Linked DNA regions of Anolis sagrei. The protein of the gene in region 2 interacts with the protein of the main gene of each other region in a pairwise test. Links are inferred from orthologs where the notes say so. Each region holds a gene or a part of one and is shown on either strand. Other genes may lie near its edges. The genes, in order: FOXP1 and ZMYM2.

Region 1 (7,202 bases), on a different chromosome or scaffold from region 2:
CGGCGGGCAAAACAAAACTTGGGGCTCTATGGAGTCGAGAAGAAACGAAGGGTGCTTTCAACAAGTCTCCACAAAAACAGGTTTTGGGGAAGAGGTGGGGAAGGCTGGGCGCTCACTGGGGGAGGAGGAGGAGGGGAGTGTGCGGTTGTGTCTCAGGGAATTGGGGGGGGAGAAAGAGAGAGAGAAAGAGAGAGAGGAGAGAGGGAAAACCTTGGAAAGCACTTGCAAGGAAGGAAGGAAGGGGATGAGGGAATCAGATCTGGTTACAGGCTCTCAGGTGGCCACAGGCACGCAGGCGTTTCTTTCTTTCTGTCTCTCTCTCTCCATCCACTCCTCCCTCCTTGCGCTCTTGCTGTCTTTCGGGGCAAACCGGGGCAGGGAGCTGGTGTGGGAGGGGAAGAAGTGACAAGCGTGGGCTCGGAGATTCCTGACCAGAAGGCAGCCGGGGCTTTGCTGAAGGTACCAAGACAAGGGGAAGATGGGGGTGAATGGGGGAAGGGGCGCTCCCGGCTGGCTCTCCCTGGTTCTGGGCTGAGAAAGAGGAGGAAAGAGAGACTTGGTTTGGGGGGGGGGGAATGGAGTGGGGGGGCAATGGAGTGGGGGGGGGGGCGAGAAGAGGAAGGCGCGTGTGGAGAAGGGAAGACACTCCGCAGGGAGCCGAGCGCGCGCGCCAACTTTTCCCAACTTGTTCCCGGCTCAAACCTGCCGCGAGGACGGAAAGGGTGGGAAATGTCCCGCTGGTGGCACTTGGCGCGCGAGTCCCGGCACCCGGGAGACTCGCGAAGGGAGAAGAAAGTTGGGAGGAAAATCTCTCCCGGGACTCCCTCCCGCCTCCCTCAGCCACCAGTCGCTCGCTTGGCCTGGAAGGGGAGAAGGGGGTGGGACTGGGGGCGCTTGGTGCGACGGAACAAGGTTGATGTATGGCTTGTGGTTGCGCTTTCCCCGCAGGCGAAGTGGCCTTGCCGAGTTTCCACGCCTGACTCTCCCTCCCTCCTTCTCCGCGCGTTTACTTTCAATCAGGGGCTGGGTGGCCGTCTGTTGGGAGGGTTTTGGTTGTGTGTTCCTGCCTGGCAAGGAGAGGGTGGGGCAGAATGACCCTTAGGATCTCCTCTTCCAACTCCAGGGAGGGAGGGAGGGAAGGAGCGAGGGGGGCCTCCGCGCGTGGGACCGCCGCTCTCGGTTGGGTCACCCGCGCGCCCTTTGCCTTTGCGCGACTTGAGGCCAAGTGGCCAAGGGGTAAAGAGCGGGTCTTTCAAAAAAGTGGAATCACGAGTGTTGTGTGGATCCTTGGAGCATGCAAACTCTCTCCAGGAAAGTCCGCTTTAAGGGTGGAGATTCCACGCGCGAGGGGAGTGCAGAGAAGAGAAGAGAAGGAGGGAGAAGAGGGGAAAGAAGTAGAGGGGGAGGAAGAGGGAGAAGAAAAGGGAAGCAAGAGGAGGTTGAAAACGGAGAAAGAAGTAGAGGAGAAAGAGGGAAAAGAAAAGAGAAAGAGGAGGGAGAAGACGACGGGGAAGAAAGAAGAGGAGCAGGGAGAAAAAAGAGGGAGAAGAAAGAGAAAGAAGTAGAGGAGAGAAGAAGAGGAAGGAGTAAGAAAGAAGAGGAGCAAGAAGAAGACGGAGAAGAAAGAGAAGAGGAAGAGGAGAAAGAAGTAGGGAAGGAGGAAGAGAGAAAGGGGGTGCAAGCGAAAGAGGAGGGAGAAGAAGACCGAGAAGAAAGAGAAAGAAGTAGAGGACAGAGAAGAAGAGGAAGGAGTAAGAAAGAAGAGGAGGGAGAAGAACACGGGGAAGAAAGAGAAGAGGAGAAAGAAGTAGAGAAGGAGGAAGAGAGAAAGGGGGTGCAAGCGAAAGAGGAGAAGACGGAGAAGAAAGAAGAGGTGGAGGGAGAAAAAAAGAGGGAGAAGACTGAGAAGAAGAGGAGAAAGTAGTAGAGGAGGAAGAAGAGGGAGAAGAAAAGAAAGAAGTAGAGGAGGGAGAAGAAGACGGAGAAGAAAGAGAAGAGGAGAAAGAAGTAGAGGAGGTGGGAGAAGAAAAGAGAGAGAAAGAGAGGAAGTAATAGGAGCAACCTTGAATGCTGGCCGGTCTATTGGGCGACTTAGCGGTGGGAGAAAGTGAGGGGCCAGCCCGGCGAGTTCGAGCTTGGGGACCGTGCGAAGGGATGTGTGTGTGTATTGGTGCTCCTCTGCCTCCCCCAAAGGCCTCTCTCTCCATTGATGCACACGCGAGGGAAGCCGGGCAAAAGTTTCTCCAAGCGGCGCCCAAAGTTCTCCTTCGGGCCCGCTTCCTCCCCCCCCCCCGGGGGGCCGAGCCCTCCTCCCTTCCTCTCTCCCAGAGAGACACCTATGGGGTAGAGCTATAGATATGCCCAACACACACCCTGGAGGAGGGTCCCCAAAGTGCGGGCTGCTTCCAACTTGCGGCGGTCATGTGTTTGGGAGGAAGAGGAGGGAGAGGGGCTGAACTCTTACCATCCCTCTCAGCCTCTCAGGCCCCTTTCCTTTCCCCCCTCAGCCGCTTAAGGAAGGGGCCTGAGGCTGTGAGGGATGGTGGGAGTTGGACCCCCAAGTCCCGTGGCGTGAGGGCCCAAGTTGGCCCGTGCCGGGTCTCCACTGTGGCACGTGGGGCGAGGGGCCTGGGCGTGGGGGAGGGCTCTGAGGGAGAGACAAACAAACAGAAAGCAAAGGAGGAAGAGTTGCGAGCGAAGGCGGCGCAAGGATGGCAAACTCACCCGCTTGGAAGCGCGGCCCTGGCGGTGCCAGCTAAGGGGCTCTCTCTCTCTCTCTTATTCCCCCCACTGCGGGTGGGTGCCTCTGCCTGCCCCTCGCCTTTGCCTCTCCCTCCTTCCTCAATCCCTCTCTCTCTCTCTCTCCTCCTTCGCTAGCCAGCCAGCCCCATGCAGGAGGCACAGCGTGCGGCCCCGCCACACAATAAACAACAATAGAGCCCTCCGCCTGGAGTCGGGAACTAGCTTCCCAAAAGGGGGAAGAGAGAGAAGAGAGAGAGAGAGGAGGCAGAGCAGGCGAAGCTCATCCAGAAGCAGAAGCAAAGCCAGGGAAGGAGGAAGCCCAGAGAAAAGCCCTCCCTCGCCAACTCTTGCCTGTCCCCCACCCGCTCCGTGTTGTCTTCCTACCAAAGTCTGCTCCCCACTTTGGAGTTTGGCTCTTTTGGGAAGGAAAAGGGGGGGAAGAGGAAGCCGGGCTTGTGTTTGGGTTTCTTCTCCCTTCTTTTCCCTCCCCCGCCTCTCCGCTCGGAAGAAAAATAACACCCCGCGGAGGGAGATTTTGTTATTTTTTGCTGTTGTGAGTCCCTGACGTCACATCCACCTGCTGGGTAAACAAGGCTCAGTGCAAAAAAAAAAAAAGAGAGAGAGAGAAAGAGAGGGGAAAAGGAGGAGAAGGAAAGGACACAAACGGAGAAGGAAAAGAAATGGGAGGAAGGGAAAGGGAACGAGAGGTTCCTGAAGAACTCAGAGAGAGAAGAAGGGAGGGAGAGGGGAAAGAGAAAGAGATTGCAGTTGGGGAAAAGGAGAGAAAGAGAGGAAAAGGAGGCAGATTGGAAGAGAAGGAAAGGACACAAATGGAGAAGGAAAAGAAATAAATGGGAGGAGGAAGACTAGGAAAGAAAAGGGAATGAGAGGTGCCTGAAGAGCTCAAAGAGAGAAGGGAAAAAGAGGTTGCAGTTGAGGGAAAAAGATAGAGGGAAAGGAGGCCGATTGGAGAGAAGAGGGGGGGGGGGGACAAATTGGAGAAGGAAAAGAAGAAATGAGAGGAAAACTAGGAAGGCAAAGGGAACGAGAGGTGCCTGAAGAGCTCAAAGAAGGGGAAGGAGGTAGATTGGAGAGAAGGGAGAAAAAGAAGATATGAGAAACGAGAGAAGGAGCAAAAGGAGAGGTGCCTGAAGAGCTCCAAGAGAGAAGAAGAAGAGGGAGAGAGGGGAAAAAGAAAAGAGACTGCAGTTGGGGGAAAGAGAGAGGCAAAGGAGGCAGATTGGAGAGAAGGGAGGGCACACATTGGAGAAGGAAAAGAAGAAATGAGAAACGAGAGGAAGGATAAGCGAAAGGAGAGGCGCCTGAAGAGCTCCAAGAGAGAAAGAGGAGAAAGGGGAAAGAGATTGCAGTTGGGGGAAAGAGAGAAGGAAAGGAGGCAGATTGAAGAGAAGAAATGGACACAAACGGGGAAGGAAGAGAAATGCAAAGAGGAAGACTAGGAAGAGGAAGGGAAAGGGAAGGAGAGGTGCCTGAAGAGCTCCAAGAGAGAAGAAGGGGGATAGAAGGGAAAGAGAAAAGAGACCGCAGTTGGTGAAAAGAGAGGGCAAGGAGGCAGATTGGAAAGAAGGAAGGGCACAAATTGGAGAAGGAAAAGAATGAGAAACGAGAGGAGGAGGAGGAAGGATAAGCGAAAGGAGAGGCGCCTGAAGAGCTCTGGGCTCGCTTGGGGCTTTCTCTCCTCTTTCCTAAACAGAACCCTAATAAAAGAAAGGAGTTGGGAGTGAGAGGGCGAGCCTTGAGAAACGAGGGGGAGAAGAAAGGCAAAGAGGTGCCTGAAGAGCTCCCAGCTCTGGGCTCGCTTGGGGCTTTCTCTCCTTTCCTAAACAGAATCCTAATAGAAGAAAGGAGTTGGGAGTGAGAGGGCGAGCCTGCCTTGTTTCCTTCCCAAGCGCGAGTGTTGTTTTAGAAGCCCCAGTGCCGGCTTCTTCCTCTTTCTCTCTCTCTCCTTTCTCTCTCTTTCCCCTCGCCTCCTTTTTGCACTTTGCCCAATGAAAGGCGCCGAGTTCGAGAGGTGAAAGTTCAGCAGGAGGACAAACCCCCGCCGCCTCGCAAGGCAGAAGCCAAGCAGGCATGGCCAGCCTTTGCAGAGAGAGAGAGAGAAATAGAAACAGGGGAGCAAGGAGAAGGCGAAGGGCGCGCGCACTCCAGGGTCCTCTGGCGCGCGCACTGGACCCTCAGCGCTCTTTAGAAACAGGGAGCAAGGAGAAGGGCGCGCGCTCTGGGCCCTGCTTAAGGGCTCTTTGGAAGGGAAAATAAAAGAGGAAGAAAACTTCTCGTTGAGTACTTTGGGAAATCCAAGTCCCCATTTTGCCTTCCTTCCAAAGCGAGGCGCAAAATTGGGCCAGCCTGCCAAGGAAAGGGTTGTGTTTCCATGCAAAGTGGCCTGCCTTTCCGGGAAGTACAAGGTAGGTAGCGTTTGGGTTAAGCGTGGCAACAATTGCCCAGGGCAATCCACAGAACTTTGCTGCCACGTTTCACCCAAGCGCCACCTTTTTCTTTCTTCCCCGACAGGCTGGCCACTCACGGCAGGTTGTTTTGTGTGTGGAAACAAAACGTTTCGCCTTCCAGGAACCTTTGTATCACATCTGGGCCTTTCTTAAAGAGATTATATACAACTATCATCAGCCCTTCCCACCTCGAGGCCGTTTCTTCGCCTCCATCCACACATTTTCTGCGACTCCAGAGGACAAAAAGACCACTTCAAATCCGGTTTCTACCTTCTGCAAAATTATGGGGTTTGTAGTTTAGTGAGGCTGTTAAAGGCTCCTCCAGTTTTTCAAGCAGCCTTCTGACCTGCCCTTTAATAAAAGAGACACACGGTCTTTCCGCCCCAAAGTGCTGCAATAATGCATTGTCGAAGGCTTTCATGACCCGAATCACTGGGTTGCTGTGAGTTTTCCGGGCTCTGTATCCATGTTCCAGAAGCATTCTCTCCGGACGTTTCACCTGCATCTATGGCAGACATCCTCAGAGGTTGTGGGGTCTGTTGGAAACTAGGAAATGGTGTTTCTATCTCTGTTCTCCCACCCTGGACATTCCACCGATATATAACCCAATTTTCCTAGTTTCCAACAGACCTCACAACCACTGAGGATGCCTGCCATACAGGCAGGTGAAACGTCAGGAGAGAATGCTTCTGGATCATGGCCACACAGCCCGGAAAACTCACAGCAGCCCATTTTCCTTTCTTTCCGAAGTCCAACTAGGGATGGAAAGGGTTACTTTTACCTGCCTTTTCACTGGCTGTGAATTCAATCCCCAGCTCCTTCTGACACTCCAAGCTGTGGCCCAACCACTAAACAATACCCTCTTCTTTGTAATGCATAATCAAACCCACTTATTCACTCATTTTATACTATTTATAAATACGGAGCTCTAATAAAATGTTGTTCATAGCCTGGACAATATGTTCTTGCACAGTGTTGGAGGGCTTGCTCTCTCTCTCTCTCTCTCTATATATATATATATATTCATAGGAGTTTTAACCACTGACAGCTAGGAGGAACTATTTATTAATTAAGGGGAAATACTGGTTCCAAGATTTCCTCCAGAAAATTCTCAAGGCTTTTGCTAAAAGATAATAATAATAATAATAATAATAATAATAATAATAATAATAATATCTCATGCTTGTGGAAAACAAAGAAAGTATGGATCATCAATGTTGCAATCCCAGGCAACAGCAGGATTGACGAGAAGCAACTGGCAAAGCTGACATCATACGAGGATTTAAAGATAGAACTGCAAAGACTGGCACAAGCCAGTCAAGGTGGCCCCAGTGGTGATCAGCACACTGGGTGCAGTGCCTAAAGACCTTGGCCTGCACTTAAAAGCAATCAGTGCTAACAAAATTACCACCTGTCAGCTGCAAAAGGGGCCACCCTACTCAGATCTGCATACATTATTTGCTGATACATTACATAGTCCTGGATACTTGGGAAGTGTCTGACGAGTGATCAAATACAACAGCCAGCATAATGATCTTGTTTGCTGTGAACTAATCTTGTTATTTATCGAATAATAGTAATAATAATCTTTATTTCTATCCCACCCAAATAAAGATTATTATTGTTATTATTATACAAATAAAGGTGGTTGTTGTTGTTGTTATTTGTATCTCCCCGAAGGGACTCGGGGTGGCTTACAACAATAAACAAATACAATAAATTGTATACCATAGAAAATAATCACATACCACTTAATTTAACAAGCACACAATAATATAAACATTAGTAAAACAAATCTAAAAGCTTTTTGCCCCATCCACTCACTTTGCCCATATCAACTTTTTTTTGCAAAGGTTACTAGTTATATATATAACACTATGATTGTATGTCTTCTTGTCCTGTTTTATTTAAAGTCCCCCTTTGAGTTATATAAATATTTGTGGCAATCATTGTTACATCATATTGTAAGGCAAATTAATTTTAAAGCACACC
Region 2 (7,143 bases):
CAGCAAGCAAGACTCCAAAAGTGGCAGGCTAAAACTCAAAACCTCCACCCATGGCCGATACCAAATGAGAGACTCTCTCCTGTGCAAAAGAGAAAATGGGCGACCTGGAAGGCACTGAACAGACTGTGCTCTGGCACCACGAGATGCAGAGCCAACCTTAAGAAATGGGGTTATAAAAGCGAGTCCACAACACGCAAGCATGGAAAAGAGCAAACACAGATCTCCTACTAAAATGCAGTCTGAGCCCTGCCACATTGCACAATGGAGGACCTTCTTACAGTGACACCAGAGGCACTCCAAACGGCGAATTACTGGTCAAAGGACAATTAATATAATTATCAAGTTTTTAAACTTTGTATCTTTTTAAAAAATACATTAAAACAGTACCTTTGGTTCACTCCTGATAAGATAAAATACCAAACTACAACTTCAATGATTTCATAGCACTAAGCCATGGCAGTAAAAGTGGTGTCTAATTGTATTAATTCTGTGAAGATGCACCCAAACCCTCAACAAATCCAGTTCCATGAAAGAAAAAGAAGAAGCAACCACACTTTGCCAAAGATTGGATTATTTTAAGTCTCTCCTACCCAGCCACAAAGTCAAGTAAGGTTGCAGGCCATTGGGAGAGTTGTGAGGGAATGAAAATTGGAAACCTGGTTAAACACAGTGGACTATCAGTGTATTTGCACATATGGGGATAGGAAGATGCCAGATATATGTAGTTGCTGGGAACTTGAGAGTTACTCTTCAACAGAGATCAAACACTATATCCCATAACATATCATAAACTCTTTATTGACTTGTTATTAATATTGAAATACTGTAATTAAAAGAAAATACAGACAAACTTAACCTAGGCCCCTTCTACACTAACCATTTAATGCAGTTCAAAGCAAGTTTCAAGCTGCTGCTGCCAGACAACAAACTCCCACAAAAGCAAACCCTTAATGTGTGCATCAGTATCTGTGGTTTGTGTGAACACCACCATTTGGCCCCCAAATCAGTTCCAAGATTTCCTGTGTAATCATCTGAACAGCAAAACCAATTTCTTCAATACTGGTTGCACAGCAAAACCACTTTCTTCAATACTGGTTTCATTAAATGGTTAGGGTAGATAGGGTGGAATATAAATAAATAAGTAAATATTATTATTGATAAGCCTTAATACTATATTATAAAAACTGATTTTACTTTATTATAAACAATTTAATTTTTTTATTATTTCTGTGACCTTTTTGCCGGTTGCCTATAGTATGTCACTTTGGTGTTGGCTCCAAAACTCTAGAGGGCTCTCGAAAGATATCCTTCTCAGAGAAGAGCCTGGTTAAAGCGGGGAGGAGCAGCAGCAGGAGGGTGTTGGTTATGGCAGGAGCGCTGTCTGCAGCAGAGCCCACCCCGAGGGAGAGGAGGAGGAGTCTCCTCACGGCCATTACAGGGCTTTGCTCCAGGGCAGCAAGCAGCTGCTAATGCTCCCCCTGCTGCACCCAATACCCCACCATTGCCCTGGAAGCCCCTCCTCCCAAATGCCAAAAAAGAAAAAAAAAGTCTCCTCCTCCTCCTCCCCCAGGCAAAAAAGCATATATAAATAGCACTCACAATAGAGCTCCTTTCTCCAGGTTGGGCTTTGCCAAGGCTGCGCCAAAGTGGCCTGGGGAAAAGAGAGGAGGAGGAGGAGGTGTTGATAATCCTGAGAAAAAGAGAAAAGGGGGCATTAATAGAGTTGGTGGGCATGCCTCCAGAAGACGCCCTTCCTTCTTTGAGGGAGAGCCCCCAATCCTCTAAGGACGCCCCCCTCCTCTCAAAAGATATGTTGATGTTGGGGTCAAGAAGAGAGAAGGGGTCTGAATAGGGCTGGTGGGCATGCCATATCTGTCCCTCCAGAAGACGCCCTTCCTTCTTTAAGAGAGAGCCCCCAATCCTATAAGGACGCCCCCCTCCTCTCAAAAGATATGTTGATGTTGGAGTCAAGAAGAGAGAAGGGGCCTGAATAGGGCTGGTGGGCATGCCATATCTGTCCCTCCAGAAGACGCCCTTCCTTCTTTGAGGGAGAGCCCCCAATCCTCTAAGGACGCCCCCCTCCTCTCAAAAGATATGTTGATGTTGGGGTCAAGAAGAGAGAAGGGGCCTGAATAGTGCTGGTGGGCATGCCATATCTGTCCCTCCAGAAGACGCCCTTCCTTCTTTGAGGGAGAGCCCCCAATCCTCTCAAAAGATATATTGATGCTGGAGTCAAGAAGAGAAAAGGGGCCAGAATAGGGCTGGTGGGCTCCCTTTATCTTCCCCTTCTCTATTTGTACCCCAAATAAAGAGATGGTGGTGTTGGGGGTAAAAATGCTGGCATTAGTAGGTGGGTGGGCCTTCTCATCTTCCCCTCCAGGAGACGCCCTTCCTTCCTTCCTGCCTCGCTGCGTGGCCCCAGAGAGGTCCCAAATGTCTACCTCCAGTTCCCTTAGGCCTACAGTTTTCCAGTGGAATGGGCGCCTCTTGCCCCAGAGAGAAGGTAGAGGCGAAGGGGATAAAGGGGGGGGGGAGGGGGAATAGAGGTGGAGAAAGAGGGCAAAGGGGAGGAGTTTCTCCTTCACGCACACACACAATACCCCACCAAAGACGGAAAGGGAGGAACTGCCTCCAGGGTTTCCCCCGCCACTGACACACAAAACAGCCCCACCGCATGCAATCCTCCCTCCTCCCCCCCTCTGGGGAAAGTGGGCCGGCCCAACTGTCCCTTCGGCCTCCCTTCCCAATTGCCCCGGGCGGCGCGCTTGGCCCCCTGCTGTCGGCCAGCGGTACTGCAGCCTCGGGTCGGCCGCCATTAATGGGGACCCAACCAAACAATACGGAGGGGGGGGGGGAAGGGAGAGGGCAAAAAGAGGAAAGGGAACGCAAGCGAGTACGGAAACAAAAAAGAGACAAAAAACTGCGAGGAGGGAGGCCGCTGGGCTTCAAAGCCGCGCTTGACAGGAATCGCACCCCCCTCCCGGTGTGCTAAAATGGATCAAGCCAAATACCCCTCAGCAGTCCTCCCTCCCTGCTTTAACCGCCCTCTCTCTCTCTCTCCACTCGAAGGGCTCAACGTGTCTCCTCCTGCCTCTCTCACCGTTTAATGGCTTCCCGCGCCAGTGCCTCAACTCTAACTCGGTCCAGTCCCGGGATAAACGCCGCCGCTGCTGGCGAGGCGAAGGAGGGACAAACCCAACCTTCGGGAGGTGGGGGGAAGGGAGAGGGAAAGAGAGGGGTGGATAGGCAGCCTCGTGCTCGCGCCTATTGGCTCCCTCAGGGGGAGGGCTTTGCCGCCCGGAAAGCTATTGGAGCAACCGCCTGCCTGTCATCATCCCGCGCGGCTGGTTGAGCGCCCCCGCCTGCCAATCACGCGCCTCGTAGCCCCGCCCCTTTCTTTGGTATCCCTCAGGTTAGAGACAACCCGAGTTGCCTCTGCGTCCCTCAAGGGGGCGCTGCTTCCTGAGGGCTTTTGGGGCAGAAGTTGGCGCTCTGTTGGCCCTCCATGAAGCAATAATCACAATAGTAACCAAATAGTAATAAATCACATAATAACCACATTTGCCACAAAAAGAGGTGGCAGTGGTAGTGGTGGTCCATTCCCTGCCCCCCCCCATGGATTTTACCCTCCACAATCTCAGGCAATCATTGAGGAGGCGCCCCCATTTCCATAATGGGGTCGTTTGGTTGGAATTGGTGCCTCAGGACATGGCGCCCTGGGGGAGGGGGAGGGGCAACATGAGGGGCAACAATAGGGACGCCCTCCCAAATGTCCCCAAAATGAACACTAATAAGAGGAGCCCATGCTCTTCAACTTCCAATAATCTCCTCAAAAGGGAGACCAATCCCAGGCAATGAAGCCCAGCACGGCTCCTGGTGGTGGAAGTGGTGGTGGTGGTTGAATGGTGGTGGCGTCCTCCATTTTGTCTGCTGCTGCTGCTGCTGCAATGGGGAGCTTCTCTGGGGGATCCCTTCAGAGCAAGATGGGGCTCTGAAAGGAGAGCCCCTTTTCCCCTCAAGGAGGGAGCCCTGAAGGAGGAGAGGGAACCTCCAAGGAAGCCCCAAGGCGGTGGGAAGGAAACCACCCACAGCCAAAGCTCCCCACTTTCCCCTCAAACCAAAATGGAGGATGCGCGCTTTCTCCTCCTATTGCGCGCTTGGCTTCGCCCCAGTTTTTTTTCCCCCTTCCCTTCCTTTTTTCCCAATCCATGGCTCGTGTTTTGGTTGGAGCCACCCGTTGTGACCCTGCTGTGACAAAAAAAAGGGAACAAAAAAGAGGCAGGAAAGAAAAACAAAACCACACACATATATATATCTCCACACCACCTCGCTTCCCTCACTCCACCTTGCAGCCATTCTCACGCTTGCACACTCCCTAGGGAAAGGCTTTATTTATGTTTTGTGTGTGTGTGTGTGTGTAATTGCGCGGGAGGAGAAGCAAAGGAGTCTTAACAACTTGGCTCTTTGGAGCTCTGGCTAATTCTCATGCGCCACCAAAAAAATAATGATAATAATAATAAAAACGCCAAAGTGACTGGAGCAGCGCCACTTTTTGAAACGGAGGCAGCCAACAGGTTTAAGCCAAAACTATTTAATAGGAGGGCGCTCTCTCTCTGTCTCTCTGTGTTTACGGGGAAAGAGCTAAAAGATTACCCTCCAGGTGGACAAATAAACCCAGGGAGAAGCTAAGGCTGGGTTCTACACCGAGCAGTCTGGACTATATCATGCAGTTCAAACTGCTCTGACCTTAGCATGCAGTTCAAACTGCATTACATGGTTCTACACCTGGCCTGGGCAAACTTTGGCCCTCCAGGTGTTTTGGACTTCAATTGGCACAATTCCTAACAGCCTCTGTCACTTTCCTTTTTGCCCTTCTCTTCTTCGGGCTAAACATGCCCAGCTCCTTAAGCTGCTCCTCATAGGGCTTGTTCTCCTTCACTTTCACTTAGGAGATCCCTCGTTGGACGAGTAAGATGGTCTTCCATTATGGATTTCCTTGTGGGTCCGCATGTGGCTGTGGAGCCCTATTCTTGCTCTGCATCTTCTTCCGCAGTGTGGGCATTGGTTTCCAGGTGGAAGGTGGTCCCGGTTGGGGTTGGCTTGACACGCCTTCCTCCTGGCACGTTTCTCTCTTTCACCCTCCACTCGTGCCTCATCGAATTCTGCAGCACTGCTGGTCACAGCTGACCTCCAGCTGGAACGGTCAAGGGCCAGGGCTTCCCAGTTCTCAGTGTCTATGCCAGAGTTTTTAAGGTTGGCTTTGAGGCCATCTTTAAATCTCTTTTCCTGTCCACCAACATTCCGTTTTCCATTCTTAATTTCAGAGTAGAGCAGCTGCTTTGGGAGACGGTGGTCAGGCATCCGGACAACGTGGCCGGCCCAGCTTGTTCTCCAGACCCTTAATCATTTTAGTTCCAACTGCGTTACATGGTTCTACACCTGGCCTGGGCAAACTTTGGCCCTCCAGATCTTTGGACTTCAATTGGCACAATTCCTAACAGCCTCTGGCACTTTCCTTTTTGCCCTTCTCTTCTTCGGGCTAAACATTCCCAGCTCCTTAAGCTGCTCCTCATAGGGCTTGTTCTCCAGACCCTTAATCATTTTAGTTCCAACAGCATTACATGGTTCTGGCCAGCCACTTTGTCCGGATGCCTGACCACCGTCTCCCAAAGCAGTTGCTTTACTCTGAACTTAAGAACGGAAAACGGAATGTTGGTGGACAGGAAAAGAGATTTAAAGATGGCCTCAAAGCCAACCTTAAAAACTCTGGCATAGACACTGAGAACTGGAAAGCCCTGGCCCTTGACCGCTCCAGCTGGAGGTCAGCTGTGACCAGCAGTGCTGCAGAATTCGAGGAGGCACGAGTGGAGGGTGAAAGAGAGAAACGTGCCAAGAGGAAGGCGCGTCAAGCCAACCCCGACCGAGACCGCCTTCCACCTGGAAACCAATGCCTTCACTGTGGGAGAAGATGCGGGTCAAGAATAGGGCTCCACAGCCACCTACAAACCCACAAAAATAGTCATCAAGGAAGACCATCTTACTCGTCCAACGAGGGATCACCTAAGTAAGTAAAACACGGTTCTACACCTGGCCTGGGCAAACTTTGGCCCTCCAGGTCTTTGGACTTCAATTGGCACAATTCCTAACAGCCTCTGGCACTTTCCTTTTTGCACCTTCGTTGCTTAAGGAATTGTACCAGTTGAAGTCCAAAACACCTGGAGGGCCAAAGTTTGCCCAGGCCTGTTCTACAAAACAACAGAGAGTAAACAATCAGGCACATCAAATCACCTCTCAAAGAAAGATTCCCCCAGGCACTTCCAAGCCATTAAATGCTAATCATAGAATCATAGAATCAAAGAGTTGGAAGAGACCTCATGGGCCATCCAGTCCAACCCCCTGCCAAGAAGCAGGAATATTGCATTCAAATCACCCCTGACAAATGGCCATCCAGCCTCTGCTTAAAAGCTTCCAAAGAAGGAGCCTCCACCACACTCCGGGGCAGAGAGTTCCACTGCTGAACGGCTCTCACGGTCAGGAAGTTCTTCCTAATGTTCAGATGGAATCTCCTCTCTTGTAGTTTGAAGCCATTGTTCCGCGTCCTAGTCTCCAAGGAAGCAGAGAACAAGCTTGCTCCCTCCTCCCTGTGGCTTCCTCTCACATATTTATACATGGCTATCATATCTCCTCTCAGCCTTCTCTTCTTCAGGCTAAACATGCCCAGTTCCCTAATCCGCTCCTCATAGGGCTTGTTCTCCAGACCCTTTATCATTTTAGTCGCCCTCCTCTGGACACATTCCAGCTTGTCAATATCTCTCTTCAATTGTGGTACCCAGAATTGGACACAATATTCCAGGTATGGTCTAACCAAGGCGGAATAGAGGGGTAGCATTACTTTCCTTGATCTAGACACTATGCTCCTATTGATGCAGGCCAAAATCCCATTGGCTTTTTTTGCCGCCACATCACATTGTTGGCTCATGTTTAACTTGTTGTCCACGAGGACTCCAAGATCTTTTTCACACATTTTTATTTATTATTTCTTTATTCACAGTAGAGTCTCGCTTATAATAAGTAATAATAATAAAAACTTTATTTGTATTCCGCTCTATCTTTATTTATATTCTGCTGGGAGAGGTTATCTGG

What was found.
Region 1: the proteins of ZMYM2 (region 2) and FOXP1 come close enough for resonance energy transfer, tested with the Homo sapiens proteins (2 studies listed by BioGRID). The link is inferred for Anolis sagrei from reciprocal best matches to the Homo sapiens genes ZMYM2 and FOXP1.

Annotation. Positions count from the first base shown.
Region 1 is NC_090022.1:39,731,050-39,738,251, forward strand, and holds the start of FOXP1 (forkhead box protein P1), read right to left. Parts: upstream 3,215-7,202; 5' UTR 3,127-3,214; intron 2,814-3,126; exon of another isoform or gene 2,725-2,813; intron 27-2,724; 5' UTR 1-26. UniProt on the Homo sapiens protein: Transcriptional repressor. Can act with CTBP1 to synergistically repress transcription but CTPBP1 is not essential. Plays an important role in the specification and differentiation of lung epithelium.
Region 2 is NC_090023.1:27,920,794-27,927,936, reverse strand, and holds the start of ZMYM2 (zinc finger MYM-type protein 2), read right to left. Parts: upstream 3,251-7,143; 5' UTR 3,101-3,250; intron 1,691-3,100; 5' UTR 1,600-1,690; intron 1-1,599. UniProt on the Homo sapiens protein: Involved in the negative regulation of transcription.